2 linked regions of the Macaca mulatta genome follow. The protein of the gene in region 2 interacts with the protein of the main gene of each other region in a biochemical or structural test. Links are inferred from orthologs where the notes say so. Each region holds a gene or a part of one and is shown on either strand. Other genes may lie near its edges.

Region 1 (3,500 bases), on a different chromosome or scaffold from region 2:
ACCCGGGGGTGGAGGTGCGGTGAGCTGAGATCACACCACTGCTCCAGCCTGGGCGGCTTAGCAAGACTCCATTTCAAAAGAAAAAAGGGGGAAAAAAAAAGTAGGTTTTTTAAAAAAACACATAATAGAATCTTAATATATTAGGAAGAGAAACAGTTGGGATATAATTTTGTGCTGTTAATTCTTCATCATCCACTAACTGATGAGAACAAGGACTCCATAATGAAGTTGACAAGATAAGGCAATGTACTGAAATACAAATAGGAAGGGGAAGGTAGGCTCCACTGCTAGAGGCTCTTGCTTACTTATAAAATAGCAGACACCTAAAAGGAAACATTATAAATCACCATCCAAATCTACTCAACTCATCGCTCAAATGGTAGGATATGAAGCACTAGGTCTTTAAAAGCAAACCAAGCCCCCAAAATACAGTCACGCATCGCTTAACAACAGGGATATATTCTCAGAATTGCATCACTAAGCTATTTTGTCGTGTGAACACCATACTGTAATGCACAAACCTAGAAGGTACAGCCTACTGCACACCTAGGCTGTATGGTAGAGCCTACTGCTCCTAGGCTACAACGCTGCACAGCATGTGACTGTACTGAATCCTGTAGGCAAAATATTTGCGTACCTAAACATAGAAAAGGTAATGTGTTGTGCCACTACAACATCACTAGGTGACAGCAATTTTTCAGCTCTATTATAAGTTTATGGGTCCACCATCATATATGCGACATTGACCAAAGTGTCACTGTGCAGCACATGGCTATACTACTTCACGAAAAGTTGTCTGGGGCTGGGAAAGTTTTTGAAGACAAAGGCCAGGGCCAAATCTAAAGCAGCACACAGTCCTCGTCCTTGACTACCTGCGCTCCCACGATGCCATTGCCCCCGTAGAAGTTCTTGGCATACATGTGCATCGATCCTCCTTTCCCTTTAGCACAACCTCCTTTTCGTCCTGGAAATGGCAGAACATACACATGTGCAGCACAAACCAACTCTACAAAGCAAACCAAACCACACCCCAAGTGGCTCAACCATTAGAACGCAGAGGCCAATTCAGTCATCTAAGTACCTGTCTCTCCAGGCAAACACGTTTCTGCTTGTCCTTTTACTAGTTCCATGTGCTTCAACCTTTCCAGCTTTTCCTACTCTCCAGTCACTTAGTTTCCTTCAGATGTTAGCAAAAGTCCAGATGGTACCCTAGACTTTTTTGGTTTTTTGACCAGTTACCAACATCTTAGGACCTCTCCTCTACTAGTACACTAAATATATTCAATCCTTGAACAGGGTTTGAACTGCACGGGTAAACTTATACAGATTTTTTTTTTTCAGCCACACATGGATTGAAAATACAATATTCTCAGGATGCAAACCCGAAGATATGGAAGGCTGACTTCAGGACTTGAGTATTTGAGGATTTTGGTATATTCAAGGGTCCTAGAACCAATCCCCTGGATATATGGAGGGACAACCATAGTTCAAGAGTCCAGGAGGGCCGGGTGCAGTGGCTCACGCCTGTAATCCTAACACTTTGGGAGGTCGAAGTGGGTAGATCACCTGAGGTCAAGAGTTCGAGACCAGCCTGGCCAACATGCTGAAACCTGGTCTCTACTAAAAATACAAAAATTAGCCAGCTGTGGTGGTTTGGCACCTATAATCCTAGCTACTCGGGAGGCTGAGACAGGAGAATTGCTTGAACCTGGGGGATGGAGGTTGCAGTGAGCCAAAATCACACCACTTCACTCCAGCCACTCCAGCCTGGGCAAAAGAACGAAACTCTGTCTTCAAAACAAAAAAAAAAAAAGAAGAAGAAGGGCTGGGCACAGTGGCCCACACCTGTAATCCTAGTATTTTGGGAGGCTGAGGCAGGCCACTGCACTCTAGCCTGGGCAACAAAGCAAGACTGTCTCAAAAACACAAAACAGGCCAGGCGTGGTGGCTCATGCTTGTAATCCCAGCACACTTTGGGAGGCCGAGGCAGATAGATCACCTGAGGTCAGGAGTTGGAGACCAGCCTGGCCAACATGGTGAAACCCCATCTCTACTAAAAATACAAAAATTAGCCGGGTGTGGTGGTGCATGCCTGTAGTCCCAGCTACCTGGGAGGCTAAGGCATGAGAATTGCTTGAACCTGGGAGGTGGCAGTTGCAGTGAGCTGATATCACACCACTGCATTCCAGCCTGGACAACAGAGTGAGACATAGTCTCAAAAAAAACAAAACAAAACAAAACAAAAAACCAAAACAAAAAAATAGTCAAGGGGGACAAAGAAAAGGGGAATATTAAGAAGATTTCTAGAATTTACATCGCATACCAAGCTTCAACCCAACTTACTTTTTTATGACTGCTAGACTTCTGCTGGCATGCTTGAATGATAACCAAACCTATTGTGATTTTATAGCACTAACCTGTTTTAAACTTTTACCTGAGGGGCCAGAGAACTTCACAAATGGTCAGTTAACTCAAGAGCACAACAGAAGTACCAGAGCACCAAAGGAGAGAGGGTTAAAAAAAGAAACTTAAAACTTTAAATATTAACTCATAAAATAGCATCTTAATGAGAGATATTTAAAAACTTAATCCACTCATTTCCCCTTTCTGTAAATCAACAGCAAACCTGTAAGCTCTGCGAGAATTTCTCGGACGGAAAGGCCCCGGGTGAAGGTAAAGCCATGAGCCCGGTAGGCTGTTATGAGATGGTCTGTGGGGTTGATGCCGGCTTCCAGGCCCACACAGCAAGCTTCCTGTTAGAGGAAGGAGAAACTATGAAGCAATACGATACATGTTTCTAAATAAAAACGTTTCCTAGACCGTAGTGAAATATTTGGGCTAGTAGAACCTGTCATTAATAACCAGAGAAAGTAGCTATTTTCCACCAAAATACAGAGCGGACGGCCCAAGCCAGAAGCAATAAACTGGCAACCCACACATGGGCCACTTCCTTCCTTTCTCCTGTATGATGACCTAAAAGCAAATCCTACATCAGATGTCAACATTAAAACACTGGGGAATTTCACATGAAAATCCAGACTTCCGCCTTCTCTTGGAGACATGGAAAACAGGAAGCATTACCCCTGATTTCCACATGGCACCAACTGGCTGGAACCAAGTCATGGCATTCCTCTGGGTAGGGCATGCTGGTCCCAGTTCAGCACGAGTCCCTGTCACCATTCTGTTTTGTATACCTAGCCTTCTTCACTCATTTATTCTACCTGGCTGGCCCTTATAGGTATTTGATTCTATAACCCTTGACATAAGCCCACAAAACAAAAAACAAACTAATCCTTTCTCTCCAAATTATATACAGTACAGGTGATCACAGTGCCAGAAAGTTTTAAAATAGTAAAACTCTGAGAACAGGTACAGAAAACTGGCAATGTTATGTGTGAATGAATTCTTTAGCCTAAGCTTCATAGCAGGTTTTGGCATTCTACTTTTTAATTCTAAAATACTGGCTTCAGCCAGGCACAGTGGCTCACGCCTATAATCCT
Region 2 (3,500 bases):
TTGGTTAGGAAATACTCTTATCCACTGTTTGATACCTTTTTAGAGATACCAAAATTTTATATGCATTTAAATGTTTTTAATTCTAGGAATCTTACCCTCTAAAATACTAGCAAAAGTAAGCATGTATTTAAGGATGTTCACAGCAGAACTGCTGGTATTGGTGGTAACAAAAAAATTAAAACAACCTAAATGTACGCCAACAGGAGAATTAATTAATACATACTGATACATTCCATACAGCCATTCAAAATCTTGGGGTATATCCAGATGTACTGAACAGCAAGATGTCTGCAAACTTGTAGAAAAATCACAGAGCACCCCATTTTCTAAAAACAACAATGTAAGGCCAATATCAATTGTGTATGTGTACAAGTGGTATAAATAGAAGAAAGCGTGAAAGGATTCAAACCAACCTGTTACGAATTACTGCTCATAGTGCAAGGAATTAGAAACAGGGGAGCAGGGACTTGAAATCTTTTTTAAGTGAAAGATACCCTCAGCTGGGTTCAGTGGCTCACGCCTGTAATCCCAGCTCTTCAGGAGGCCGAGGCAGGCAGGAGTTCCAGACCAGCCTGGCCAACATGGTAATACCCTATCTGCACTAAAGATACAAAAATTAGCCAGGCGTAGTGTTGAGCATCTGTAACTCCAGCTACTGGGGAGGCTGAGGCAAGACAATCGCTTGAACTCAGGAGGCAGAGGCTACAGTGAGCTGAGATCGCAGCACTGCACTCCAGCCTGGGCAACAGAATGAGACTCTGTCTCAAACAAAACAAAACAAAAAAGATATCCTCTATAGTATCACCAAACTTTGCCTATCTATAATTCTATCAATAAAATAGTCATCCTATAAATAATGCACAAATAATACTATAAGGTTATTTTCAAACCCATGCATTGGTGCCTACCATTTTATCTCATGATACAAATAGTTGTTTAATAGTAAGAAATAACAGTAACTTTGATTTTTGTATCTTTTTTGTAAAGAGAAATGTCAGTATTTACCTTTAATAACTTCAACTACATTGCAGTTTGGATTTATGCTTCCAATGTGTTTTCGATGAGACGGACTTCCTTTGCCTTTTCCCCCAAACAATAAAGCTATCCAAAAAGACAAAACCAACAAAATAAGCTAAACTACCTAATGCTCTTTTCCAAATCTGAATAGTGTTTAAATTGTACCAAACAGTAGAACAAATATTTGCCTTTAGGATAAACACAGTATTTTACATTCAATAAAAATACCTTTCTTGATGGCAGTCTATTTACTTCTCTTAATTAGCCAAAAGGTAAAACTAAATTTTCTACCTAAATGGAAGTTTCCTAAATACATTTAAAATATGCCACCACATCTCATTTAGCTGCTTCTCTTGACTCAGGACACTTACAGTGCTGATTGAGTAACATTCTAATTGAAATGCGACTCATGTAGAATCGATCCAAAAAGTACTGAACATTCTGGCTGGTGACAGGATCCACCCCAAAGCTCTCCTTGTATTCAATCACACCCTGGGCCATTGTGGGAATGACATCATTGTGTCGGTTTCTGATCCGTATCACAGTATCTGTAAAGCTAAACAAACCCATCTGTCAAAACAGCCAAATATTTTGACAAGTAAACTTAATACAAAAATATAAGTTTAACCAACTATGCTAGACAAAAATCCCTAATTTACTAAAAGGAAAATCAGTTCATGTTTTCCTATACTTATTTAAATGTATTTCAAATCATAAAATATACCAAATCTATGGAAGTATAACGACCTCCAAAATAAAACTTTCAAAATGTAATTATTTTCTTGGTTTCCTAAGAGTAAGGCTGTGACAAAACATAATCTTAAAAATGTTAATGGTTTTAACTGCTATCAACTAAGGTTATCTGAGCACTTGCTAAGAGGATGGTATTCCAGAGATATTCTGCATAGAAGAAGACAAAGCACTTGCCTCTAGGGAACACCTGCTCTGCTCTGCAAGGAATCAAGATGAATGAGCCAATAAAGCCTGCCTGTTTTAGAACTATTCCCTAGGGTTCAAAGAGAGAAGGAAACACTTAGGACAGAAAAACGAAAAAAGAATTATCATTTCATTTATTCTATGAGTTTATAAAATGGGAGAGGAAAAGTAAACAATTGTATTAAAAGATAAATCTTCAAATCATCTAGTAGCCTTCCCATTTCTGTCACTTAGAAGACGTTGCATGGTTAAAGAACTAAATAAAAGACAAAAGAGAAAAGAAATCTTTTTTTTCTTTTTTTGAGATGGAGTTTTGCTTTTTCCCCAGGCTAGAGTGTAATCACACAATCTTGGCTCACTGTAACCTCCACCTCCCAAGTTCAAGCGATTCTACTGCCTCAGCCTTCCTCAGTAGCTGGGATTACAGGTATGCACCACCACGCTTGGCTAATTTTGTATTTTCAGTAGAGATGGGGTTCCTCCATGTTGATCAGGCCGGTCTTGAACTCCCGACCTCAGACTATCTGCCCACCTCGGCCTCCCAAAGTGCTGGGATTACCGGCATAAGCCACTGTGCCCGGCCCAAGAAGTCTTAATTATGCAGTAACAAAACCAATTTTCTAACATAACCCATCTGAATTTACACTTCCAAATGAGTGTTTTCCTATTCAAAGTCATCATCTTGAGTACTATTAACTTATTCCAATGATGTTTCCACTGCTTAAAACATTTTTGGAATTCCTAGTTAGTAACAAGCTTCAAAACAAGACTGTTAAACCAAAATACAAACAACAAAACTCTTCGAAAACAACAAACAACTCATCATTCTAGTCATTCCTTTATTTATTTTTCTTTTTTCTTAAAAGAAAACAAAGCTGTATTATTCTGCTTGACTACTTATTTTCCACAGCTCTGAACGACTGTTTTCAGAAGGCTCTATAGCATGTTTACTTCTAAAGTAAGGCTGCTTGGATTCTACCATGTGCTAACTATGTAACCTTAAGCTACATGCCCTCTTTGTGCACAAACAGCATTATTTCAATGAATTGTTTTAAAGATTAAAAAACATCATTCATGTAAAGTCTGCTCAATACCTAAGCAAGGAGTAAACTCTTGCTGAACGTTATTTTCAGATTAAAATCATGTTTAAAAAAATGAAGTGTTACTGTTCCCTTTAAAGACAGTCCAAAAAACATGTGTAACTAACTGAGGACAAGAGATGGTCATTACATTGTCGGTGCCCTTCACTGCAATAAGCAGGTAGCTGCATATGGCAAATACTTTGGTCTACCAATTCCGGTATATGGGTTATTAAACTTGTCATATTACTGACATCTTACAGGCCATAGAGAATAAACTAGAAACCTGCAACCATGTTTTATAGGCCTTCTATGTTTTAAAAAATGTTTTAATTAGCTGCCAATCTTTCAAAAGCAAGAGATTTTACATTACAAACCTAGACTTGTAGCTTTCCTTTAAAATCAGAAAACAATCAGATGATATGAGCAGTATTTTAACATGGCAAAGATCAGCTGGGGCTGAAGGTG

Evidence for each region.
Region 1: the proteins of PDK1 (region 2) and PDHA1 form a complex in vitro, tested with the Homo sapiens proteins (2 studies listed by BioGRID, with this or other methods). The link is inferred for Macaca mulatta from reciprocal best matches to the Homo sapiens genes PDK1 and PDHA1.

Annotation. Positions count from the first base shown.
Region 1 is NC_133426.1:19,087,383-19,090,882, reverse strand, and holds part of PDHA1 (pyruvate dehydrogenase E1 component subunit alpha, somatic form, mitochondrial), read right to left. Parts: intron 2,754-3,500; coding exon 2,627-2,753; intron 965-2,626; coding exon 873-964; intron 1-872. UniProt on the Homo sapiens protein: The pyruvate dehydrogenase complex catalyzes the overall conversion of pyruvate to acetyl-CoA and CO(2), and thereby links the glycolytic pathway to the tricarboxylic cycle.
Region 2 is NC_133417.1:77,481,674-77,485,173, reverse strand, and holds part of PDK1 (pyruvate dehydrogenase (acetyl-transferring) kinase isozyme 1, mitochondrial), read right to left. Parts: intron 1,574-3,500; coding exon 1,389-1,573; intron 1,102-1,388; coding exon 1,006-1,101; intron 1-1,005. UniProt on the Homo sapiens protein: Kinase that plays a key role in regulation of glucose and fatty acid metabolism and homeostasis via phosphorylation of the pyruvate dehydrogenase subunits PDHA1 and PDHA2.